4 linked regions of the Caenorhabditis elegans genome follow. The protein of the gene in region 1 interacts with the protein of each later gene in a pairwise test. Each region holds a gene or a part of one and is shown in the gene's direction. Other genes may lie near its edges. The genes, in order: cgh-1, tmem-131, mex-1 and nhl-2.

Evidence for each region.
Region 2: the proteins of cgh-1 (region 1) and tmem-131 interact in a two-hybrid assay, tested with the Caenorhabditis elegans proteins (2 studies listed by BioGRID).
Region 3: the proteins of cgh-1 (region 1) and mex-1 interact in a two-hybrid assay, tested with the Caenorhabditis elegans proteins (2 studies listed by BioGRID).
Region 4: the proteins of cgh-1 (region 1) and nhl-2 interact in a two-hybrid assay, tested with the Caenorhabditis elegans proteins (one study listed by BioGRID).

Annotation. Positions count from the first base shown.
Region 1 is NC_003281.10:7,494,820-7,499,776, reverse strand, and holds cgh-1 (ATP-dependent RNA helicase cgh-1), read left to right. Parts: upstream 1-1,944; 5' UTR 1,945-1,982; coding exon 1,983-2,087; intron 2,088-2,134; coding exon 2,135-2,638; intron 2,639-2,683; coding exon 2,684-3,101; intron 3,102-3,122; exon of another isoform or gene 3,123-3,200; intron 3,201-3,249; coding exon 3,250-3,515; 3' UTR 3,516-4,457; downstream 4,458-4,957. Other genes in the region: sap-140 (U2 snRNP-associated SURP motif-containing protein), read right to left, coding at 1-15; C07H6.9 (Serpentine Receptor, class Z), read left to right, coding at 330-368, 412-502, 547-689, 732-944. UniProt on the Caenorhabditis elegans protein: Probable RNA helicase required for oocyte and sperm function. Also required to prevent the physiological germline apoptosis mechanism killing essentially all developing oocytes.
Region 2 is NC_003281.10:4,992,143-5,000,108, reverse strand, and holds the start of tmem-131 (Transmembrane protein 131 homolog), read left to right. Parts: upstream 1-1,947; 5' UTR 1,948-1,975; coding exon 1,976-2,071; intron 2,072-2,115; coding exon 2,116-2,405; intron 2,406-2,576; coding exon 2,577-2,697; intron 2,698-2,743; coding exon 2,744-2,989; intron 2,990-3,261; coding exon 3,262-4,044; intron 4,045-4,133; coding exon 4,134-4,379; intron 4,380-4,428; coding exon 4,429-4,806; intron 4,807-4,850; coding exon 4,851-5,599; intron 5,600-5,642; coding exon 5,643-5,893; intron 5,894-5,942; coding exon 5,943-6,132; intron 6,133-6,191; coding exon 6,192-6,380; intron 6,381-6,426; coding exon 6,427-7,777; intron 7,778-7,826; coding exon 7,827-7,966. Other genes in the region: Guanine nucleotide exchange protein smcr-8, read right to left, coding at 12-158, 207-521, 567-726. UniProt on the Caenorhabditis elegans protein: Collagen binding transmembrane protein involved in collagen secretion, probably by recruiting the ER-to-Golgi transport complex TRAPPIII. Required for normal development.
Region 3 is NC_003280.10:11,966,722-11,972,869, forward strand, and holds mex-1 (C3H1-type domain-containing protein), read left to right. Parts: upstream 1-1,915; 5' UTR 1,916-1,927; coding exon 1,928-2,066; intron 2,067-2,121; coding exon 2,122-2,273; intron 2,274-2,329; coding exon 2,330-2,668; intron 2,669-3,459; coding exon 3,460-3,966; intron 3,967-4,008; coding exon 4,009-4,125; intron 4,126-4,990; coding exon 4,991-5,230; 3' UTR 5,231-5,626; downstream 5,627-6,148. Other genes in the region: rab-7 (Ras-related protein Rab-7a), read right to left, coding at 65-181; W03C9.5 (PTK2), read right to left, coding at 461-613, 662-711, 758-794; acbp-6 (ACB domain-containing protein), read right to left, coding at 5,640-5,821, 5,875-6,016.
Region 4 is NC_003281.10:4,893,130-4,900,706, reverse strand, and holds nhl-2 (B box-type domain-containing protein), read left to right. Parts: upstream 1-1,621; 5' UTR 1,622-1,749; coding exon 1,750-1,871; intron 1,872-2,176; coding exon 2,177-2,522; intron 2,523-2,621; coding exon 2,622-3,158; intron 3,159-3,217; coding exon 3,218-3,659; intron 3,660-3,710; coding exon 3,711-4,261; intron 4,262-4,346; coding exon 4,347-5,109; intron 5,110-5,155; coding exon 5,156-5,328; intron 5,329-5,387; coding exon 5,388-5,552; 3' UTR 5,553-7,049; downstream 7,050-7,577. Other genes in the region: F26F4.6 (TFIIS-type domain-containing protein), read left to right, coding at 7,314-7,413, 7,464-7,577.

The DNA of each region.
Region 1 (4,957 bases):
CCATTCCATACTCATATTGCGGGGAAATTTCCCGGGAAATAATTTAAAATGTTAGATTTTTCCCAGTAAATGGACCAGGCACTGACAATGCGTCAGCAATTATGATGAAACGCGCCAGCAACCACTTTGGCGTGTTTTCGGATCTCGGCGCGACTTTTAAGTAAGGAAACATTTTATTTTTGAAAAAAGAAAGAACAAAATAATAACGTAATTAATTTCAATTCATGAGTTACACGCAATTTCATATTATTATTAACATTTAACGTTCAAATCATATAATTCATAAATAAAATAACAAACCATTTTTAAATAATTTGCATATAAGAATTATGAGTCTATCTCCTCCGCCGTTATTCAATCTCGATCAAGTTTGTTATCTGTAATGTTTCTGCCTTTATAAATAATTTTAAGGGATCTTGGAGTCCTATTGCTATAAACATGATTTGCCTAGAAGCTTTACAAACTTGGTACCAATCGGTTTATCTTGGATCTGCTTATTTCTGTAAGAAAATAAAAAGTGGAAAAATATAACAACTAAAATTGCAGATATGAAGACAGAGTCGTTCGTGTATCTGTCACTTGTTTACATTCAATTTTCGTTATTTTTTCTAACAAGCATTTTGATAGTTATATATTTTATATCATACAATGGAGTCCAACGTCTCAATGTTATTACGATTACCACAAATGTAACGTTTCTTTTGACTCCTGTTTTCAATTAAGATTTTCAGTTTATAAAAATGGTGGTGGATGTGTCCTGTTTCGGAACAATTTATTTTGTTGGCAGCTCGAAAATATTGCCTATTGTGGATTTGGCGTATTTCAATTGTGTTATCCAACCGTGTCGGTTTCTTATATTCATCGTATACTGCCATCACGGAGCTAGATGTGACGCATATCACAGATTTCTGGTTGAATATGAGGAGTTCGAATTAGAAAAATGAGGAAATCGAAAAACGATAAAGTAATCACATTACTCATTACATTTAGAACTAATTATCCTTTAATAAATTTTCATCGACGCTGGTATATTCTTTTTAATATTTAATTCATTATTATTCTCAAGAAATTTCGCATCAAATCTTCGTAAAGTTTTTCATTGAAATCTAATTTTGAATTACCGCCATTTTGTTTCGCGCGTTGGCTGAGTATTCAACTTTTGTGTGTTGAATGTACGCAGCGAAATGCCTCTCACTCGTCGCTCGCAGCAGCTTGGCCTACTCGTCCCGTCGCTCTCACAGTTTTTCTCTCCACACTCTCGTTTCTTCGCACATTTCCTTCATTTTGGCCGTTGTTCTCCACGTGTTTCTGTGTTTCTTCTCTAGATTTCTAAGAGTTTTAGGCGACGATGGCAGCTCCAATCTGTTATCGACACTTTCTTGATAGATTCAGTCGTTTTCCGAAGATTTTTATCAGTTTCGTAGCTCAGAAACCTGTTTTAAAAAACGATAACAAAAAGTGTTCTTTCAAACTTTCGAATGTAAAATATAAACTTTTTCGCGTTTATTGTTTGGAGAGTCGCTTAAAAACTGGAAGGTATCAATAAAAAATTGTCGTGATTCTCTGACCTTTTGAAATTGTTTCTTGTCAATTGCCACGTCGTCAAACATCGGCTACCCTGTTGGCTAGATACTCCAGCAACCCAAAGAGTGTCTGTGCGTCTCTATGCGCCGCCGACCACTCGCTTGCTTTTTCTAACCGTCATTGATCGTGTGTATACGAGCGCGAGACAGACACCGGTTGTCTCGCATAAATATTATCTCAGTGTTATTTAGCGTTCCTCCTAATTGTTCTGAAAATGCTTGAATGATTTTTCCATGACTAACAAAATTGTAGTAAACTCGATAGGTATCATTTTTTCGCATTAAAAACTTATCTTCCTTCATTAACAACTTCTCAACTTACACCATTAACAACTTCTCAACTTTAATCTCGATTTTACAGATCTCATCAGGAAATCAAACCTACTACGACATCGGAAAATGAGTGGAGCGGAGCAACAACAGATCGTTCCTGCCAACAATGGCGACGAAAACTGGAAGGCTGGTCTCAATCTTCCAGCAAAAGACAGAAGATTCAAAACTGCTGTGAGTTTGCAAAGCCTATATGACTTTGTGACCATTTCATTTTTCAGGATGTCACTGATACGAAGGGAGTCGAGTTTGAGGATTTCTGCCTTGGACGCGATCTTCTCATGGGGATTTTTGAGAAAGGATGGGAAAAACCGAGTCCTATTCAAGAAGCATCCATCGGAGTCGCTCTCACTGGTCAAGATATTCTCGCAAGAGCTAAGAACGGAACAGGAAAAACCGGAGCTTATTGTATCCCTGTTATCGAGAAGATCCAGCCAGCCCTCAAAGCTATTCAAGCCATGGTCATTGTCCCAACTCGTGAATTGGCTCTCCAAACTTCACAGATCTGCGTGGAGCTCTCCAAACACATTCAGCTCAAAGTTATGGTCACTACCGGAGGAACTGATCTCCGTGATGATATCATGCGTCTAAACGGAACGGTTCACTTGGTCATCGCCACCCCAGGAAGAATTCTCGATCTTATGGAGAAAGGAGTCGCCAAAATGGAACATTGTAAAACACTTGTTCTTGACGAGGCTGACAAACTTCTTAGTCAAGACTTCCAGGTAAAAAAATTAACATTTGAATAAGATAACAATTCTCGTTTACAGGGAATTCTCGACCGCCTCATCAACTTCCTCCCAAAGGAGCGTCAAGTTATGCTTTATTCTGCCACTTTCCCTAACACCGTCACTTCGTTCATGCAGAAGCACATGCACAAGCCGTATGAGATCAACCTCATGGAGGAGCTTACTCTTCTTGGTGTCACCCAATACTATGCCTTTGTTCAAGAGAAGCAAAAGGTCCACTGTTTGAATACGTTGTTCCGAAAACTTCAAATCAACCAGTCGATCATCTTCTGTAACTCTACTCAACGTGTTGAGCTTCTCGCTAAGAAAATCACGGAAATCGGTTACTCGTGCTACTACATTCATTCCAAGATGGCTCAGAATCACAGAAACCGTGTCTTCCATGACTTCCGTCAAGGAAACTGCAGAAACTTGGTTTGCTCCGATCTTCTCACCCGTGGTAAGTTTGACTAAATAATTTGCGCGATGAGGATTGATAACACATACACACACTCTGAAGTTATGTGAAGAGATAATTGAAGAACGGATATCTGAGCGCCATTTTTCTTATTTTAAAGTGTAGTTCATGCATAATTGTAATTTTTCAGGTATCGATATCCAGGCTGTCAATGTTGTCATCAACTTTGACTTCCCAAGAAACGCCGAGACTTACCTTCACAGAATCGGTCGCTCTGGACGTTTCGGTCACCTCGGAGTTGCAATCAACCTTATCACCTACGAAGACCGTCACACCCTTCGCCGTATCGAGCAGGAGCTTCGTACTCGCATTGAGCCCATCCCGAAAACGGTTGACCCGAAGCTGTATGTCGCTGACCAGCAGCTCGTCGATGCCGCCGATGAGACCACTGCTTAAACACTAGTTCTCATATCCCCAAACCTCCAAAACACACTGGTCGCCTACGTTTTTTTTTTCCATTCTAGTGATCTCGTCCAGATTGTGTATGTTCTCTATTTTCCTTTAAATGCACAGTTTGTGCTAAATTTAATATTGTTCAAGCATAAGCATCTTTCCTTCCTGTTTTCTCAAATCCCCGCACATTATTTGTATCCCATCCACCTTCCCGGACCCCATCAACCCGTTCCACTTATATGCGGTGTAAAATTCTAATTTTTCTTTTTCATTAGTTTCCCCATACCCTCCAACTTGCAGTCATGGACTGTAACTCATTCAAGTCGTTGTGTTTTACATAGTCATTTAAGTTGGTCTTTATGCTCCCAAAGTAAATTGTTTCGACATTAATGTGTCGTTGCAAAATATATTTGGGAGTGTAAGGACATTGTTCATACACATCGGGTTCTTTTTGACGTGTATCATACTGGGTAGCCGGCTCTGTAGTTATTCTGTTGAGCCGCACCACATTGATCAATCTTGTAATTTCCTATCTCATTTCCCACAATTCTCCCTTCATGCCCCATACCAATGCATCCAAAATTTAAAACCACCATCCTTGCGGTTTTCCCTTGCCCATCTGTAGGGTTTTATTCCGCTCTTGTGCTCATTCCAGTTCAACTTGTCCATCTCCTAATCTGATAGATATTTATTGCAACTATTATCATGTCAAATGGCTCAAAGACTATAATGTCTTGGAAGGCTTCCGGCTGGCCATGTGTCTCGCTTACAGCTCTTCCCCCATCCCCATTCCAAAACCATTTGTTCTCTCCCGCCTCCTCCCTCTTGTTTATTGTATAATTTGTAGAAGTTGACACCAAAAATTTGCACAATTTTTCGATTCACAAAGGATGTGCAAGCTTCCTTCTGGATGATTGCCATCTTTAACAATAAAAGACCGAATCGAAACATCGTCTTCTGTTATTTCTTTTCAGAGTTTCATATGAAGAGGAAAGTAGTGAAAGCCTTGAGAAAAACCGAAAACCCACAAGAGATACATTAAAGCACATTAGCGCATTTCCCGAGTGAAAGACCATGTGAAATGAAAGTAACAAAATGCGACGATTTACTTTCGTTTCTCGTATTCCCTGGCAACAGCAGCGGAAGGCGTTGAATGTGTTGACAGTCAGCCAGCGGCAATGGTTGAGGTCGGTATTCAATTTACTGTTTCTCTCTTGGATGTGTCATCCGGAGAGGTGATTGCCCATCCGTATCGGCACCAGTAATGCGCGCCGCGCACAGTAATATTAGTTGATATTGCGGTGACGGGAGAGGTCGGAACGTCTACATTAATCTATTAGTGTGTATTCGGATTCCGACCGCAATGACTTTGAAAATTCTTTTTAGTTTCATTTTCTCATATGCTTTTCTATATGTATATCCTCGCCTTTTGTAATATTATGCAA
Region 2 (7,966 bases), 2.5 Mb from region 1:
GTTTTGTTCACCATCAAAAGCCATTTCTTGAAATCTTTTCGTCAAAAATTTGCTTTTTAGAAGCCTGGTTTGCTCGAAAACTACATTGAATCTGCTTCCGTCTGACAACTTTTGTGAATCTCCATTCAGTGTATAGTACTGTTTCAGGGTGGTTTCATCTGAAAATGGTAACAATTTGTTTAAAAAATCGAAGAAAAAAAACTTACCAACACTGTCCGAAAACTTGACAATATCAGTGACATGGCGAATAAACAGACGTCGATTGCAAATCAAAACTGGTGAAACTAATTTTTTCATAGCTGATGAGAATAGGTTCAAAGTTTCTTTTGTTGGCTTCTCCGAACATAAATAGGCGATGCATAAATTTCTTTGAAAAGCTCTTGCTCTCATGTCGTACAAATTAAAATAATATGCGGCCGCATATACACCCGTTTGATTGTTTTCCAACACAATCATTGTACCCGGAACAGTATCAGACGACATCAACCAGATTGCCATATCGTTTATGTCAACTCCGCGGACTGAAAATTAGCATTTATTCGAGAAAATTGTGTATAAATATTTACTTTTATCATCTGGCCGCTGAGAAACTACCGCTAGTGGTTTTGGTCCGATAACTTGGCAAAATTCGACAAGAGTCAGAAATGGATCAATTTTTGCGACGAATCTGTTGAATGGATCGACGACTTTGGATGGTCGGAGGAGAAAATCCTCGAATGAAATCATTTCTGAAATTAATACAATTTTAATTTCATAATAAAAAGACGAATTCAGCAGAAAACGGCTTAAAAAACAAAAGTGAAAATGTTTGCAAATTATGGAAGAGTTTCCTTCATTAAAACTTTTCAAGCATGCGCCTTTAAAGCTACAGTAACCAAAACCCTCTATAAAACTACTCATTAATCAATTTAAAAGTCAATTTACGTTCAAGTTAAATTAAATCAATATTTTCCAAGCGAAATTGTTTGCAAAAGAACAATGAAGTAACTTCCAGCAGTGTAAACATCGGAAAACCAGTCACTGCAGTCAGGAGATATTGTTCTGGTGGCCGTGGCCGAGGATTCTCCACACGGCTGAAATAACTGTAATTTGTTTCTGTAGTTTTTCTGGTTTTTAATCGTCAGTTTTGAACGTTTTCGCGCAGAAATTTGCATATTCGGAATTATTTAAGACATATTTTTGATATTTATAGTATACTCTGTCAAATATTCTATTTTTCGCGTGTTTGTTAACAACAATAGCCGAAGAAAATCATTTTCTGATTACAAAAAAAATGTGTCCATAATTTCCACAATTGTTCTGCTAAATAAAGACTGTTTTCTGATTTTCTAAATTCTATGTAAATCCAAGCGCTCAATATTTTAATGCTTCATTAATATTCATACCCGAGGTAATAAAACTAGCCTGCGGTTGACAGCTATAGACTTTTTTCCTGACTGCCTTGACCTAGATGACAGATGGTTATCACTTTGTCTTTGTTTTATTCACTTGATTCCACTCATTTTTCACCGAAAAAAGCCCTTTTTCTTTTTTCTCTCTTCACTTTTCCAAACCAGATTTCTTCGTTCTTCTTTCTCTTATAATGGTGTGATGACGTGTTCAACATCTCTATTTTCCCTCAAAAATCGATCGATCCTATTTGTTCTGCGTCTCACGACGACTGTATCTTCTTCTTCCCAAGATGCCGAATACTGGGTCTCTCCAAATCAAACACTATCTCTTCTCCCAGTTATCCTTCCCAATTGAAGTCGACGTCGCCTTTGCCGTTGTCTCTCACTTTTTTATTTCCCTGGAGAAATCTCTTAGTGCCGTTCAATTCCACGTATCATCCATGTTGCATAAGCAAATAAGCAAAAAATAAGCAATAAAAACTGATTTCCGTTTTATTGTGCTTTTTAATTATCTTACTCAGAAAACCTATAGAAAAAAATTTATTCGTTTTTTCAGAGAAACTCTCAATTTACCAAATGCTCAAATGGTTCCATCAATACACAAAACTTCAAACAGATATCGGACGATATATTTCTTCCTAATTTCTCTTTTAATCACTTCAACTTTTGCAGATCAGCAGGTATGGTTTAGCCTCAGAAATTCACATTAAAAAATCAATTTCAGGCATGGCCTCTTCCAGAAGAAGTGTCCGCATCCCAGCTTCACGAGATTCCAGTTCTTCATACCGCATTTGTTCAAATCGGTGAAGAGCTTCACTATCTCAATCATCCTATTCGACCCGAAAATGTGCATCAATTGCCAGTTTATGATTCAATTAAAGGAGTTTGTGAAGGAAATTGTCCGAAAGAAGCCAACAAGAACCATGCGACGAAAACATTCAACGTGTTGAAATTGTCTGGAAAAGGGAAACTTCCAATGGAGATGGATCCACCAATGATGGATTTTGGGCAAAAGTGAATAATTTTTAATTATACTCAAAAGATCGAACTTCATAACGAGACTTTGAAAAAATGCAATTTTTGGAATGTCTCGTTATGAAATTCGACATTTTGGGGCCATTTTAAGTATGATAACAAAAATTTTGATTAATTTAAAAAACCTTCCAAGTATGCATTTTTTTTCAGTTCTGTCGGTACCGCGCAGAAACGCAAAATCTACATTCGAAATATGAGAAATGAACAGATATTCCTCGATGCAGTTGTTGTCAACTCTATTGAATTTCAAGCTTCATATTTTGAGCAATATGTGAGTTTTCTCTACTCAAAAATCAATTATTTCTTGATAATTTCAGAAGCTTGAGCCACATGGTGTTACATCATTGGAAGTGGTCTTCCTACCACGAGAAATTGGAAAACGATCGACAATTGTTCATTTTTACACTTCTGTTGGAGTATTCACATACAAAATGCAGGGAAATTGTGATTCAAATCCATATCGTATATCACCATTTACTGGTTATCGTCTTCCGATGAATTCATCTATTTCAAAGCCAATTGTTATTTTCAATCCGTACGCGTATACAATGAGAATTACCGAGGTTTGTTTTTTAAATGAAAAATTTCACGGAGATGATAAAAATACATTCAAAGGACGTTGTTTAAATAAATATAAAAAAAAAATTTTGTATTTAAAATAGTTTTGAATCGAAAAAATACTAGTTTTTGTGAGAAAAATAGATACATTTTCATTTTTGTAACATTTCAAAACTTTCAAATGACCAATTTTCGAAAATCTTCAATTATTTCGCCTATATAATTGAATTTAATAATTATTTACTTCTAAATTAGTTTAATTTAACAAAATTTATAGATCGGAACATCTGGAGGAAATGCTCACATAGAACTTCCTCATGAAGTTGACAGTAAATTGGCTGAAGAACCACTACAATATTGGGATATTCGTCCATATCAATCCAAACAAATCGCTACGCTGGTCCTAGTTGGAGCAACTTCTGAAAATTCGACAGTATTTGTTCGAATTGGATCTGAAATTTATTTGAGCTCTGAGCATCGCAAACCGAATACGGATATCTATTTAACCGTACCAATTGAAGTTCTGAAACGTCGCGGAGTGTATGCAACAGATGAAATTTTGGATTTTGGACTTATTCGACAAGGGATGAAATCAGAGGCCAAAGTATTTTCTGTGGTTCAATATCAAATTGGAGGAAGGTTGGAATTCGAGACTCTATACGTAGAGAAAGGAGATCATACAGCAATTTATATGGAATTTGCTTCACATCCACCAATTATAGTATATCCACCAACAAAGGGAAGCGTCACATTGGGACCAAAAGCAGATCTTGTAAAAGTATATCTAGAAGGAAATCGAGTACAAATGTCACCTCAACAACAGATGAAACATATTAGTGGGCACATTATTGCAGTTTCTAGAGGTGGAAACTATAATGTTAGCATTCCGTATCGAGCCGATGTATTTCGTGGAGACCTTCTCCCGATTGGAAATGATTTATCGATTCAAGAAGATTTGAGACCACCTCATCAAAGAATTATTCGAATTGAAAATCAGTTGCCATTCGATGTGGCTATTTTCAATATTACATTGGCTCCAGAATTGGTCTCCCACTTTTCTGTAAGTTCTCATAATTTTTTTTTGGGAAATTTTTAAAGTTCAAATTCTCAAAACTGAATTATCCTAGTTATTATTTTCTCTTCTTTCAGGTTCGACTCATTGATCGCACTGCCCTCATCCGTTCCGGCCACATTTCACCAGTCTTTGTTCTGAAATACAATAAGAAACTACCACCAACATTCGATAACTCTACAATTTATCTACACACAAATGTTTCCACTTTTAATTTAAGCCTATCAACCTATACAGGAAGAATGAACGTTGAGTTGATATCTGTGGATAAAAATTCATTTGATTTCGGTTTTGTTGAAAGGAATGACACAAGGACAATTCGAGTAAGAAAAAATTAAAATAAAGTTATAACATTTCAATTTATAATTTCAGTTCGTGGTTTGGAATCACAATCGAGCTGAGATGCGTCTCAAAAATCTTGCTGTACCACATCGTTCGGCTTACCGACTCTACGAAGTTGGTGTCAAGTCGATCGGAAACTTTTCTGATGTTCGAAATGATGAACGTCTTGAATACGTTGAAGCCACCGATGTTGATATTCCACCAATGAAAGGAAAAATCTTTGATTTGGAGCTGAAAGTTCCATCGGATGGAGTTGTTCGAAACGGAAATATCATTTTCGAAACTGATTTAGAGAGTAAAATATTTGGAGTTACTTATCAAGTATCAACTGGATCACTACAGTCGATACCGGAAGAAATATGCTTCGGACAGACGTTCCCGTCGAAATTGGTTTATCGAACACTACAGGTAGGAAGATCCTAATAGTTGCTTCAATTTCTGAAATTGTTTAGGTATTCAACTCATTCGACGAAGATATGACCGTAACCCGTCTGACAACTCTCAATGAAGATCCACGATTCTTTTTCGAAGGATTCGATCCCAAGAATCCACCTGTGCTTCGTTCAGGACGACTCACTAATCTTGGACGTGTCATGTTCTCTCCATCAGCTCCATGTGAACATGATTACTGTTATCTGGGTCTCCCATTAGGAAGTTCCGATGGAGCGTGGTTTACGCATGGTCTCACACTACCATCTAATTTGCCAGAAATTGATTCTTATCTGTACAAACAGTTGAGAAAGAAATATGATGCATTGGTGAATAGTGGAAAACATCATATCAACACTACAATAATTTTGGATACTGATAAAGCAAAGAATATCAAGATCAAAACATCTGCTGAATTGGTGTGGCCACGACTTCTCACAAGAAATTCCATTCATTTCCCTCTAACAGCTCTTGGAAACTTCACCATCGTGAATCTAACACTAGCCAATCCAACAAATGTGCCAGTTGCAATTCAAGTAATTCCATTGGTTATCTACCCGGATGCAGAGTCTCTCGTCGAACTGATGCGTCCAAATTTGGTATCCGAACTGACAGATCATGTTGAAATGAACGAAACATTGATGTTTTCGTTGCGAGACACTGAATTGTTCACTTTGAAGTCAGATTCACCTGTTCCGAAGCTCAGAGAAGCATTTGAATATCATTTAAATCATGAGATGCCAAGATATAATAATGAAATTAATATTCCTAGGTTAGTTGTTTTAAAATTAATTCAATTTATCAATTAATTTCAGGTTCACGTTATCAATGATCCTAAAACCACATATGAAAATTCGACTTCGCCTTGGTTTCCTGCCATCAGACTACACACTCCGATCATCTCTTCTCTTGATTCGTAACAATTTGACAGCGATTGAGCCAGTTGTAATGTATGGAAAAGGTGCTCGAATTGGAGTTAAAGTTGAAGGAGCCGAAGCTCGATCCAAAAAGCCGTTATTATTCGAAATTCGGCACGATCATTTGACAGATTGCAATAACCCTAAAAGTATGTGATTCGAAATTTCATTGAAAAATATAAATGCAAAATTTTACAGGATTAATGCACAAATTGCACTCAACTCTGACTGTTCGCCGCCCGTTCCAAGTGATGAATAGTGGAGAAGTTCAATTTACCGTAACCAATATGAGTATTAACGGTGTTCCTTGCGAGAATCGAGGTTTTCGAATTCTCAATTGTTACCCGTTCCGTCTACAACCAAATGAGACATATGCTTTAGATATTGCGTGAGTTAGAAAAATATAATTACAAAATAAACATAAATTGTATTTTTTTTAAATTTCAGTTACACACCAGACTTCCTTACAACAACCAATGAAGCAGATTTACAACTTTATATGCACATGAACGGTAGTGCTTGGATATTCCCATTGGCATCTACAGTACCCGGTGATATGCTTGCCAAATGTCATCAGGCACTCCCTCGACCACCTTTTGAGAATATCATGTATTATAGCTGTGTAACAGCACTGATGTAAGTTTAAACAAAACTTTATGAAAACTAAAATAATTATTTTCAGATTCTGTCTTGTTTGTGTTCTTGCATGCGCCTATCTGGAAGGTGATCGTGCTATTGCCGTTGCCATCAGACAACAATTTGCCATTCCTCGCCACGTATTTGATCTCAACAATTTGAATAAGAACAATTCTACAACTACACCTGTTCCTACAGTACCTTCTACAGCTAAGCCCGAAAGTTCTATAAAGAAGCCAACCCCGGCGACTAGACCTTCAACGCTTCGAGCTTCATCCGATGCTTGGCTCATTTCTCGATTACTTATCGGTTTGGCCAACTTCATTGTGAAATGCGTTCATTTATTCTGGAAATGGTCTTTGTTCTGGAGGAGAGAAAAAGCGGATGATAAACAATCAAAATCGGCAAAAGTAACGAAAAAGAAGAATCCAGTGACAATGCAGAAGGTTGAAGAGTTCCGTCAAATGCTTGAATATGTTGGGCAGCAGAAGCGACAACAAAACTCTGGAGAACTTGCTCCAGAATTTGATGAAGTTGAAGAAGAAGAGCTTGCAGAGATGTGGGCACAGAGAAAGGATTCTGGGGCTCAATCTTCGGTTGTGACAGACCCTGAGCCACCAATGTCGAAAAGTCAAAGAAAGAAGAAACGAGCTGCGCAACAGAAAGAAAATAATAATTTGGAAGCACCTATTATTGTACAACCAGTTGTTCAAAGCCCGCCGGTTCAAAATAAAATGGAACCAGCGAAGAAAACCACTCCGGGACCATCACCAAAACCAAAAGGAAACAATCAGCGAAAGAAACATGTGCAGGTACCACCAGTCACAAAGACTCCCGTTACTCCGAAAACTTCAATTCCTCCGCCAACAGAACCAGAGAAACCCATCAAGCCATCTGAACAGAAGAAGCCCAATGCAATACCAGTTGAACGGCCAAAGCAGCCAACTCCTTCGAAAGCAAGAACGCCAAGCAAAACACCATCCCAGTCTAATCGAGCTCAGCATCCCGCTAGCTCTCCAGCTCCAATTGCTCCGACGTCAGCTCCAACAGACGACTTTGTTCACGTCCCACCAACTTCTTTAACTTCACCTGATCTCTTCTATCGTCAATTCTTGTCATCAATGGGCATGCCAATGGACGCAGGAATGTGGGATACACCAGCGGCTCAAGCTGCAATGCCGTTTATGAATCTGTGGAATTATGGAGGGCCGTTGAGTGCGGAACAGATGGAAGATCTTATTCGACAAGCTTCTGGAGTTGCTCCAATAACTAATGATTCGGAAGGAACTACAGTTACAACACCTTCGGATATTGGAATGACCTGGGGAACTAGCGGACATTTAGGAGGAGACGAAGAAAGTATTGGAGGTGAAGCTGCACCAGATTGGATTGATGAGGTAATTAAAATTAGAATTGAATATCTTTACTTATTAAGAAATATTACAGGATGTCAATGTCGATGATGCAGAAATGGATTTCTCATCGATGTCTGCCGCATCTAAGGATATATTCAAAGATGATGATATTGATAATTTCAATCAGCAAATGAAAAGACAGAGAAGTCCAAGTCAAGCTTCATCAACTCT
Region 3 (6,148 bases), on another chromosome or scaffold:
TTTATATTTCAGGGAGAATTTTGAGTTTAAACAAAAATTTCAGTTTCTAAAAAAATTGACAAACCTTATATTGATTACTAAATCGCCGATTTACATATTGATTCATCAAAGATGTTTTTCCAACGCCCGAATCTCCGAGAATGATCACTTTGAGCAGCGCCTTCTTTCTGGTTCCCGACATTTTTGTTCACTGGAAGCCTTTTTGTTGTGCTGCAAAAATCAATTAACTGATAAGAAAATGAATTATAGATTAAAAAAAGAAAGAAAAAGATACAGACAGGCGATTGTTCAACCTGTGTCGCAAGAACAAATAGTAACTAAATTGTGACGACGAAATTATTTAGAAATATTACATAAAGCGAAAATACAATTTGACCCGTAGCAAAAAAATACATGTCGGGAAAATGAGAAAAATGGTTAATAAATTTTTAAAAAAAGTATATAAAATTCCTCCAACAAGCTACTGCATGTCCTTGTACTTTACAATCTTCTCCGACGGATTCCACTTCCGATCGGGGCATTGCGATTCTTCATGTTGGTGTCGCAATGCTGCAGAGACGACGTGCAGCGGATTGTGCCTACAAATGGCAGCTTCGAGCGGTCCAGTGCCCGCCTGAAATGGAATATTTTCGATTTTTTGAATGAAATATGTGTAGCTCACCTCGTTGTAATGATTGGTTACCGTGAATAATTGCGGGTCTCGATTTTTCCCTGGATTAAAATAGTATTGTATCAGTTTTTTCGAGTAAAAACCAACCAGTGAACCTAGGAGCGGTTTGAATCGCATCGGCCATTTTCGCGTGAGGGCGCCTGTAAAATGGAAAGTTTCGCATTTTCTGACAAAGAGGATAGTGATGGTGACGAAAAAAAGAACAAAAAGATTGAAAAAGTGGCGATTTTTTGTGTAAAAAGGGGCAAAAAGTGCACGTGACAGGGCCGTCAGCTGGGAGAAATGGCCAGATGAGACACGCGCCGCGAGAGCCGCGACGCGTTCGACAGAGCGCACTTGTGACGAGACCACGGGAATTATCGAAGCATGGAAAGTGATTCGTGGGGATTTTGAGCAGAAAATTAGTTTTTCATGGTGAAAACTGGGAGGAAAATTAAAAACTTCAAAATTAAAGATAAAGCTTTAAAACAAACAGCTTAAACTAGCAAAATATATACTTTAATTTTCAAAATTTTAAATCCACCGAATAAGTGATCCCCCTAATTTTTCAGCTTCAGCTTCTCGTGCTTAGTCATGAGCATGCTCACGCTGAGCAGCTTTGAATAGTAAAAATAGAAGCACTTTTTGAAAGGAAAAGTACAGAAAACATAAAATTAAAATTGGGAAAATGGAAAAAGACTGGGTATTCGGGGGGTTTCCTGGTATTATACTTAGGAATATTCCTGAGTGTAAACTAGGCAAATAAAAAATTTCGAAAGATTGGAAACCGGATTTAGTTTTTTTTTCAGAGAATTTTTCATGATAGACGGGGGAAAAGAAACGAAAAAAAAATGGAAAGAAGCTTTCAGACATGCGAAAAATCTGAAAATAGATTGTGTCTCGAAGAGTTTCAATTTATATTCTTGTTTTCTAGAGTTTTCGACATCAAAAACCGAACAAATAAACAAGGAAACTGTCCGAAAACAAAGAAGAATAATAAAAATGAATCAAAAAGTTACGGTTCAAAGACGCAGCCACAAAAGTTGTTGCAGGGTCTCACCACGACTACCGTAGCCCGTGGAGCGGGAAATTTTGGATTTTGAGGTAAATGGCGCGAATTTCGCTCATTTTTCTTCATTTTTTGCGGAGATTTTGCCCAAAAATTCAGTTTAATTCAATTTACACCTTTTTTTAACGATTTTGTTCCTCAATTCCTCAATAAAACATGATTTTTCGTCGATTTTCCACCAAATTAATTAATTTCAGGAAAGGAGAAGGATGCAATCTTCAAATGGAGAGCATCACCAACAAAAGCAGACGCCGTACTTCATGAATGCTCCATGCGACCCGGCTCTTCTCGCGTTGGCTCAACAAACGTTTCTAGGCTTCCAACCACAAAAGAATATGTATCAACATGGTATTTTCTTTAGCTTCTGAAGGATAAATCGAATAAAATTAAAAATTAATTTTAGGATTTCCCCCGATGCTTCCCCACAGGAACCTCATTCCGTCGCTGGCGGCCGCGATTCCCGAAATGGATAAGCTAATGTTGGAGGAGCCAATTGAGGCTGGAAGCATGCCATATCGCAGAGCCACCAACAAGAATATCTCTGTGTCCGATGACGTAGGAGAAATTTGAATTATTAAATTCAAAAAATATAAAAATCTAATATTTTTCAGTCATTCAACAACATGCATCGGTCCTCTTCCTCATCGCAATATCGCCGTCATTCCGCTCAATGGGAGACTATGACTGATGACGAACGAGAGTCGGTTCAGCGTCAGAAGCGCAAGGAAGAAGCATTCAAGACGGCACTTTGTGACGCTTTTAAGCGCTCAGGCTCCTGCCCGTACGGCGAAGCTTGCCGGTTTGCTCACGGCGAGAACGAGCTGAGGATGCCGTCGCAGCCACGTGGCAAGGCGCATCCAAAGTACAAGACGCAGCTGTGCGACAAGTTTTCCAACTTTGGACAGTGTCCCTATGGACCACGATGCCAGTTTATTCATAAGCTGAAGAAGGTTGGAACATTTGAGATTGCAGGAATTCTCATAAATGAATAAAATAGCATTATTTTCTTAGGTTTTTATATTAGGTTTTTTTGTTTAAAATCTTCAAATTCTTACTAATTTCGTCGAAATTTTGAGCTGAAATTCGTTGAAAATTGCGAAATCTTTACAAATTTTGGTTATTTTCAGTGAAAAAGATCAAAATTTGGTCATTTTCAGTTAGATTTTCAAATTTTCGTTAAAAATCATCAAATTCTAAGTAATTTCATGGAAATTTTGAGCTGAAGTCAGTTTATAATCCTCGTTTTGTGTGAAACACATTGTAACTTTCAGATTTTTCGTTAAACTGTTAAAAGTCGCGTTCAGTTCAATTTTCCACAAATTTTTCGCCATTTTCACTGAATTTTGCCCCTAGTTTTGTGGGAAATCTTGCATTTCCTAAAAATTTCATAAAAATTCGAGCTGAAATTCGTTGAAAATCGCGATTAATTCTTTTTTTTTCACAAATTTTAGGTTATTTTCACCAAAAAAGACAAAAATTTCGTCATTTCCAGTCGGATTTTTCTGATTTTTCGTTAAAAATCTTCAAATTCCTATTCATTTTATAGAAATAGAGCTGCCAAACCCATTGATTTTTTAGTGAAATTTTTCAAATGTTCTGTTTTCTCGCTATTTTTTAATTGAAAAAATCAAAATTTGAGTCATTTTCAGCGCAGATTTCCTAATTTTTCCCGAAAAATATTCAAAATCTAGTAGATTTCCATAGGAATTTTTAATTTTTAATTAAAAAAAAATTCTTGCAGGGTCTTCCACTGAGCGAGTACAACCGTGCTCTTCAAGAAGGCGAGATCTCACCGGCTCGCGACGACGAGATCACCAATCCCGACGAATCATCATCCCAAGTGGAGGATCTGAGTGAGCTTCACCATCGACAACATCAGCAGCAGCAGCAGTACCAACAACGCTATCGTCGGCCACCATTCAACAATTTCCACGATATGTCGGATAGTGGATACAGTGCTCCTCGCCGCCGGCTTCATCATCAATTCGAGCATCTTGGTAGTGAGCAGCAGCAGCAGCAGCAGCAGCAGACACCAGCTCCGAAGATTGTCTATCCATCGATGCAAGTTGTCAATATTGAAATGGCAACTGGTGACGGACCTAAAAGGTCTGACAATCATCATTATCATCATCATCATCATCAACGTCGTCATATTCCGGCACCACCATCCACCGGTCCACTGAGCTCTCTCATTGATCAGGCCGACTATGAAGCTTCTATGGCAAGCGGGAAAATGTTCGGAAAACCAGTTAGTCCGCCTTTTTCCCGGATAAAACCGTCAAGTTTTGAGAATTTTCAGGAGAACATTCGCACCTATGGAGCCATGATCCGCGCCAACGAGGAGCACGTCGAGCGTAATCAGACTGGAGTTGTCAAGAAGGAACGGGCGACGGTTCTACCGAAAAGGGTACGGCATCCCCGCTGAACAATTGCTTCTAATTATGAAAAAAACACAAAAAATGCGATTTTTCAATGCGACCAATCAGCGATTCACACCGCCCACTTTTCAACCAATCATATATAGTGGGCGGAGCTGATTGGTTTGGCAGTTCTCTTCAAAGTTTAAATATCAATTTAAATCTCTTTTTACGAATCTTTTTCATTTTTTGTAGTTTTTTTTCCGAATTTTTTAGAGAAAAACCCCCATTCTCGCTTTTTTTAGAGAAACCACCAAAAAAATCGGCAAAGAATGTAAAATTCTACTTTAAAACCAGATTTTTCAATTTTGGCGAAATTCCCTTCAAAATGAGAACTGCGACCAATCAGCGATTCGCACCGCCCACTTTTCAACCAATCAGATGTAGTGGGCGGTGCTCGAAGACGCTGATTGGTTTTGCAGTTCCTTTTTGTGGTTTTTAATGAATTTATACTATTTTTGGATTAAAAAAAGAAGCAAAATTCCCGTTCTAGCTATTTTTCAGGGAAACCACGAAAAAAAATGAAAATTATTTTTTAAAAACCCGATTTTTTTAAATTTTGGCGAAATTCCTTCCAAAATGAGAACTGCGACCAATCAGCGATTCGCTCCGCCCACTTTTCAACCAATCACAAAAAGTGGGCGGAGCTCGAGGACGCTGATTGGTTTAGCAGTTCCATTTTGAATTTTAGAGAAAATCCCCCATTCTCGCTGTTCTTTCCAAAAAAAACCACAAAAAAATCCCTGAACAATGAAAAATCTACTTCAAATAAACTCCGCCCATTTCATTTGATTGGTTGAAAAATGGGCGGTGCGAATCGCTGATTGGTCCCCCTCCATACAAATTTTGTTTCAGGATCTTTCACTGATTCGCGAGGAGGATACACTGCTCGTCGACGGTTCTCATCTGAATATGACGTCATCGGCGATTCTGCCAGCTCATCAAATCCCTTCCACCACGACCACCAGCACATCATCTCCAGTCCAAGAACAGCCGTGGTACGAGAAGATTTTCGGGAAAATGACAATGATCCAAGAGGAATCATCGATGGGCGGTGAAGACGACGATGCTCACGAAGATCATTATTCGAGATAATCTGGATTCCTCCGTCCACCCCCTACCTACCTACCTAAAAATCTGCCAAATTCTCACAAATTGTCCCAGTCCAAAATCTCTTACAACAAGAACAAAAAATCCCCTCCAAATTTTCATGTCATATCATAATTTTCCCCCCACACCACCAAAAAAATGTCCATATTTTGTATTTTTGTGTCCCACCCCCCGGCCAATCTGAGCCATATTTATTTTGATAATGATTGTAAAAAGTTATTTTGTGATCTCTACCGTTTCCCCCCAAACATTCCCCATTTCTCTATCTCTCTCTCTAGTCTATCTCACTCTCTCTATCGGTGTCTCGCCACGATACCCACCGACCCAGAACGCCAAGAACAAATATGAAGAGATTTGAATTTTTATTCAAAAACAAAAAAATACTCAAAATCAATCAATAATCCACAGACCAAACTTCACTGTTCCACTTGCAACGGACAATGTTCCGCCCGTATTTTTTGATCATTTCCTCGGCGATTGCCACGTAGTCCGCGCGGCATTTCTCCGAATTCGCGCCTTTCTGCGATTTCCAGGCGGCATATTTTTTCCTGCCGACCTCGTCACCGGCGGGAACTGCTGAAAAATATAGAATGTTAGATTTTGGATTATTTTCCATTCGAGACCCTTACGATACACATCCTCATTTGGAATGTCCCCATGGAGAGCCTGTTTGTACAATGCGTAGAGTTTCAGCCGCTCTCGATCGGTTGGCTCGGACTTGAGCCGACGCATCTCCTCGGCGGCAATTTCAAAAGTTAGCCCGGTCCATTTCTGAGGGAATTGGGAATTTGATTGTTATTATTGAATCCTCGAAAAATTCGGTGGAGCGCGCTTGCATCTTTTACTATTATGGGGCGTAAACGGCCGCGAATCATGGGTCTCGTTATTACGGGACCATGAGAT
Region 4 (7,577 bases), 2.6 Mb from region 1:
TTAAAACTTAAGTAAGGGTAATCAAATGAAAATCACTTTTCAGTATCCTCTGGAGCTGAAAAAGTAAGGTAAGAAGTAGTTGGTGAGGCAATTTTGAATATTGATGCACGAATGAGACAACTGATATCAAGAAAGAGGTCAAACTGATAAGGCGTCAAAAAATAGAATCTCATCGAAAAAGGAAAACAATTTCTTTAAAACTTTACAGTACCTGTGAAATTTTAAAGGAGCATAGCTTTTTCCATTGAAAAGGTCCCGCAACGAAATTGGTACTGTGAATTTCAGAACTCCTCTTGGACAAATTCTTTTTGAATAAATCCTTGCTTTTTATTAAAAAATTGTTCCCTTTTGAGTATTTATTTCTGTTGAACTGGTAAAATATATTTAAATAAATATTAATTTAGTCAAATTGCAACTCTTTATTAGTGGAAGCGCCTTTCAAAAACCTGCTCGTATCGATTTCGTTGGCTAAAATGCGAAAAAAGTAAACAAAATTCCTATGAAGCCTAATTAGCGTCTGATAAAGTTTTTAACTTGATACGTTACTATTGTAAAAAGATTTTAAATTCTTTTTTATGTAAATTCGGAAAAAAATTTCCAATAGAGTGTTTGTCATCTGAATGATCATGCGAATGGTCATCCACCAACCGCTTCCGAAAAAATCGTCGAATTTCCCTGCCGCACTTTTGCAGTTTTCCTCACGCCCCTCACTCCGCCCACTTGGCATTCAGCCAACAAATACCCTCGAGGTGGTGAAAGTGCAGCTGGCACGATGCCAAGTAGGCGGTTTCTCTGCGTAGCGGCCGCGAAAGTGTGTGTCATGCGTGTGAGACGATACAGAAAGCGGTGTCCCAGTCTATGACTACTCTCTTCATTCTGCATACTCTCTCGCCACTGTCTGCACGCGTCTCGTGCAAAAGTGCGCTAGTAATTGCTCTTTTTCGTCGAAATGACGTCATTTTTTCGAATTTTGCAAATTGATTTTTCAGTAACAGGTAGAATTTGATTTCAGCTTTCTGCTTTTCTAATAAATTTCAATGTTTTATCGTGAAATTCTGAAGAAAATGGCATCCAAAGTGCATTATTTTGTTTTAAAACTTTTGAATTTTTTTAAATTCTTCATTTTTTATTTAAAAATTAAAAATTTTCTGTTAAAATCAACAATTTTCGTTTACAACACTTGCATTTAAACATTCCCTGCGCTCGCTTTTTGTTTAGTATTGCATTGCAGAATATTTAGAACATTGAATGCCATAAGTACTTTGTTTTTTCTTGATTATCTCTTCTTCCGTTTCATTTTTTCTGTATCTTATTCGTCTGCGCGTGATTCTTTTTTTGTAGAACCTAACAATTTTCTGGTCAGGTGGAATAAGTCTTATGACATTGAAAGAAACGCTGAAACTGAACGTTGTGTTGTTCAAACCAACAAATATTTTGTTTTTTTTTGTATTTAGGTGTTCGTTTTTGTTGTAATTCTTATTAGAGTTCGAATAGTTCACTGATTTTCCGAAACTTTAGACGCCTTCCTTGATTTTTTTATTATTCTTTTGAATGTATTTTCTGTGAAACTCGAATTTCTTACTACTCTTAAACCCAATTAACTTCTTATAATCATTTTTCATTTCAGTTTACACTCCAAGAGTGTCCCTGATACTTTAATATTCTCTTATTCTGTATTTGTGTGCTTGTTAATAACAAAAAGCACCCGGATAAGAAGATTGAAAAGTGTCGAACGTTCATTCCGTGAAGATGAAAAAAGCGGCAGATCGGCCGACTTCGGCGGTGAATGGTAGGCATGAATCGCCCGCTACGTCCACAAATAACACACAAAATAGTGGAACGCCCAGTTTGAATGGACAAGATCCACTGAGGTAAGCTATCATGAATTACATAAGTTAAAAAAAAACATTAAAATTCTTAATTTCAACTAAAACCTCTAATTTTGTTTTTTCCGTATCGATTATTTATTGTTTTTTAAATCTTTTAATTGGCAAAATCAAATTTTCAGCCAAAATAAAACAATTTTTCTGAAATTTCTTGAACTGCAACTACAAATTTTGAATTTTTTTTTTGATGAATTTGGTTATGAAAGTCGGTCTTTTTTAGGCCATTGTTAGTATATTACATCTTTAAACACTAATTTTTCCTGATAAATAAATAATCCAAATAGTTTCAGATCAACGTCATCATCACCTCTATTTGGCACAGAACCACTACCAGAAGATGATCATGCTTCATGTCCATACTGTCAACAAGATTTCCGTAAACCGCGAGTTCTTGATTGTCTTCATTCAATGTGCGAAGATTGTATTATTGCTCAACTTGATGGACACCTTCAAGCAAAGTCAGCTGCCATTGAAGAGAAGAAACGAGCGACTGCAGCAATGTTGGATTGTGAATTGGAAACACCGAAAGTTAAAGAACGACCAACACCTCCTGGCGTAATCCGATGTCCAATTTGTTCACAAGAATCGCATGTTGGAAATGATGTTCGATATGTTCATGCCATGCTCCTGGATTTTGTAAGTTGAATTTTTTTCTGAAACATAGTATTTTGGTCTTTTGATCTACCAAAAACATTACTAAACTTGGATTCAATGTTTTCAATATAATATTTCCAGGTTCGTCTTGCCGAAATGAAGGAAGTTGAAGTTGAGAAAATGGTTGCCCACCATCGCAAACCATGTACTGCCTGCAAATCCGAACAAGAAGCCATCGCATTCTGTGATCAATGCTCTTCAGATTTATGCGAAAACTGCACAACTGCTCATACTGTCATGAACCTTTTCCAAGGTCACACTGTAACCACATTTGCTGATCTTCGGCAGCCTGGAGCCCATCCAGAACTTCGTCAAGTCATGTGCTCCACTCATAATCAGCATATGAGATATTTGTGTGCAGCATGTGAAACAGCGGCTTGTAAGCAATGCCTGGAAGTTGATCATTTGAATCATAAAATCATTGATATCAACGAGCTTGTGATCAATGCTATAAGGGAAGATGTGACAAGTACTGTGGATCGTGTCGAAAAGAAATATAACAATTCTGTGGCTGATATGAATAGCCTTCCAGACAAGTCTCAACAGTTGAATGAACAGTATGAGATTGCGAAGTATCGAGTTGATAAACATTATGAGGAGTTACGCAATTCTATTGAGGTAGGGCATCAAAATTTAAATGTTTTGGAGTTAAAGGGAAAAATATATTAAAATTTCAGGAGGCCTATCAAAAAAGCGTGAACGATCTCGAAGAGGCGCGAATCCGTCAAGAGTCTAACATTGATGAAATGTACCGTAAATCACAAGTTAACGAAGCACGAGTACATGATGCCATCAACTTCACTCGCCGACTTCTTACCAAAGGAAATGGTCTCGAGTTGGTTGTTTCGAGGAAAAAAGTTATTCAACAATTTGGAAACTTGTCTCATGCTATTCCATCTCATGGACACCAAGTGGAACTTGAGTTTTATACTCCATCGAAAAAACAAATTGATCATTTTGTGCATCAACTAACTGGAACAGTTATCGGACGAGTGATTCAGCCAACTGTTAAAGACGTTGGAAATGCAACTGCAGCATCAACTGATAGAAGTGAAAGAGGAGGTTCTCAACCAGGAGGTGGAAGATCTAGCTCAGCAGCTAATCCATCACAACAAGATGGTAAATTGATTATTTTCTCTATAAATTGATTATTAATATTGATTCTTTCAGAATGGGGACGCCCTGTTTATTCACAAAATCCACAACTCGGTGCAATTGGTGGAGAACGTAAGAAGAACACACAGAATGGAACCAATGGTACTCGTGGAGACAGCAATGCATTCGGCGGATGGCCACCAAGCAGTCATCCACCAGAATCGACAACTCCCCCACCTGTTACTGGACCTCAAACTATGATAACTGGAGCTCCGACTCAGACAGCTGCTCCAATTGTTTCTCAACAGCAACTTTCGAATCTTCCTAATGCAGCTGCGATGGCTGCTGCGGCTGCTGGTATGCGTCCTGATCTGGTTGCCTTGGCTGCAAATCACATGGATTTGGCAGCACTTACGAATGGATCAACAAATGGATCACAAACTCCATTGCCAGAGTCTATTTTCCCAGCGATGTGGAATGCTCGTCAAGGGCTTCCAGCAGTGGCTACACCAACAACTACTGGTCTGTCAACTAATGCTTCAGCCGCCTATATGCAGCAGAAGTTAGCAGCGGCTCAACTACAAGCACTTGCCAGCCATCGATTGAATCCACAAATAATGTCAATGGTAAGCTCTATTTTTGAAACATTCCTAAATACTATTCATTATTCATATTATGCAGTCACAACACATGCTTAATATTTATTTTCAGAACAACCTGCGCACCAATCAAACAATTCAAGAGTTTTTGGCGATGAATGCAATGGGAAATTTGAGTTTGAATCCTCAACTCACATCAGCTGCAGCTGCAGCACTAGCAGCTACTGCTGCCGCAAATTCGGCTGTAACCACTACTGCTTCGGATGTCGGTCAATCGCAGAATTCAGCGAACGCACAACGAGTCAGCGATCTGAAGGTGCACAGTGTGTTCGGAACATCTCAACAAGGAAGCACTATTCGAGAGTTGCATTGTCCATCTGGATTCTGTTTGTCTGACACTGATGATATTCTGATTGCTGATACCAATAATCATCGAGTTGTCGTATGTGGTCCACCTCATCCATGGAAGATTGGACGTCCAGGAACGGATGACGGACAATTGTGCTTCCCAAGAAAAGTGATTGCACTGAGAGGAGAAGCTGTCCGTTATGTGGTACTCGATAAAGGCGGTGACGGGAAAACTCGTGCTCAGATCTTCGAAGCTCGTGGTGAATTCGTCAAACGTCTCAACATGATGGCTTTGGTTCCACGTGGCGGAATAGAAGTATCCGCTGCTGCCGCAACCCCGAATGGACAACTTTTACTTGTTGATACTGCTGGATTTGTGTATTCTATTGATGTAGATGCACCACGAGTCACATTCTGGTTCGATGCTTCCACTCAACTCGGAGAAGCTTCTGATGTTGCCATGTTTGATAACCTGATTTATATAACGGATTTCAAGCATCATTGTGTCCAAGTTTACACTTCTGAAGGTACCGTAATAATTTTCTGGATTAAAAAAAAGTGTAATATTTTCAGGAAAATTCATCCGAAAAATGGGAGAACCATCACAGACCCCATATCCAATTGGAATAGACGTCTCGAAGGCAGGAGAGGTTCTTGTAGCTGATACTCATGGAAATCATCTGCACGTTGTTGTATTCTCACCCGAAGGACAACATATTCATTCATTTACTCACAACGAGTTTAGAGTAAGTATCTTGAAAATTATTTAGAAAGTGCAGTTATATTGAACAATTTGTATTTTCAGCTTTCTCGGTGCGTTGGTCTCCGAATCGCTAAAAGTGGTCACATTGTGACGTTGTGTAAGCATAACCACACTCTATTCGTCTTCAAACCATTGATTCTTCCAAATGGACTTCCTGTTCCAACTCCAGTTCCTCATGCAACTTCGCTCATCAGCAAGTTTCAGTGAGGAGGTTACCCCAATTCCTATATAAGCTTTTTTTCTTGTACATTTCTTTTTTCTCATTTCTAGCCGTCTTCTTTTTTTTCCTTCTCCCTTTGCTTATCCGCCTTTTTGTTGTCCCCGGTGTTGTTCCATTATTTTAAGTTCCTAAGTTTCTTTCCCCTCCCCATATCTCTTAATTCTTTCGTTTTGAGACCTCATTTGCCACCCCTCCTCTCCCTCAAGCTTTTTAATACAAAAACGTCTCTTTTTTATTTTGCTCAAATTCTTTCCAAAGATTTTAAGTTTTTTCTTCTTATTTCCCATTTATCCAGTTTATACCATTTTATTCGTTAAAATGTAAATACCGTTAGCGTTTTTTTTTTCAAATTTACCCCTGTCAACTTTTCAACCCGCCCCCGCCTTTCCGTTTCAAAAATGTTCTTGTTTTTTCTTTCTTATAAGCCTCATCTTAGGACTGCATCGTTTTGTATCTATTTTAAGTGAAATTTGAATTTCAGCTCGCCCAAAAAAAATCAAAAAATTCCAAAAAAAATATAGGGCTCCCTACACACTCTTACTCACTTCCGTTCATTTTTCTCGTATATTGTTATCCTTGTTATAATTTCAGCGTTTTCAAACGGGAGATCAACTTTTAAAAAACTCTGAAACTATAAAGTTTATATTTTGAACTACAACAAAACCTCGTCATCGTTGTCCCAAATTCTATTCTAAAAAGCGTCCCTGTGCAGCAACCATTTCTTTTCTTTCTCCAAATATTCTCGCATTCAGCCAAATTTTATCAGATTTTTATACTATTTTACGAAAATGCTCAATTTCCCCCAAATTCCCGGCTTTTTTTTCTATGTTTCCTCATTTCTAGCGATTCTAGAGGTCAGTCATATATACTCTATACGTTGAGTTAAACGCTCTTCATTGAAATTCTAGTGCATTTTTCAATTGAGATCGCTTAACTTTTTCCTATACATACAGTGTAATTCTCCCCCCTAGTCCCGTCGCTTTCAAATGTTTCTTATATATCCCAGTAGGTACCACAAAAAGCTCTTCTAAAAGCACATTTCGTTACTCAATTTCTTCATATTCCCATTTTTGAAATCGTTTTTATTCGTTTTGTACATTTCTTTTTATTCTCATCTATCGAATCGAACCTCATCTTTAATCCTGTTTCGTGATGATTATAGACACAATTATCTACTCTCTTCCATCATTTTTTATAAAAGCCCCGTACCTTTCCCACTGAAATTTCAAATTTGCCGCTCAAAACCATCATTTTCTTCTTTTTTGTGAAATTTTTATTGGAGCGAATTCTTATTCTCACTTTTTTGTGCTAACCACTTTGATTTTTCCCCCATTTTTATTGAGTCCATTTCCGTGGCGAATCCAAAGCGCTTTCTAGTACACATTCTCAATGTTTTCTACAAGGCTATTTCTCAGAATTTTATTATAATTACCATCTTTTTCAAAATTTTAACTTTGATGAAAATAAAGTGTTAATCAAAAAAAAAAGTATTTTTCGTGTTTTTCGTGTTTGCTGTGCGTTAGATGTGCGCGTGAATATATCGAAGATGTGAATCAATGAAGAGAAAAGATACGCAGAGATATTGAACAATGATCAATAATTATTATGGTCGAATGACGAGAAAACGATAAAGGTACATAGATATCAAGACTTTTATAATTAAATCATGCTTCGCTGCTTTTTCAAATTTGATTTTCTCGCTTTTTTGTCTAGATAAAACTGAAATTTACAGCTGGATTTAACTGAAAATGTCTACTCAAAATGAAGAATCTGAAGAATCAGCTCGACGACCTCAATCAATTAGTCATTTGGCACGAGTGGAAGTAGAAGAACCAGCAAGGAAAATGAGTGAGATTTTAAATTTAAAATAAAAATTAACATGAATTACGTATTTTCAGGATTAATGTTCGGTGAGAAACAAGTGGTCTTCATCCGATCGGATGGTTTGAGAAGCCGAGTTGTTCGGGAGAATATGAAGAAGAAGTTGAGTCAAGAAATTGAGAAAAAGGAAG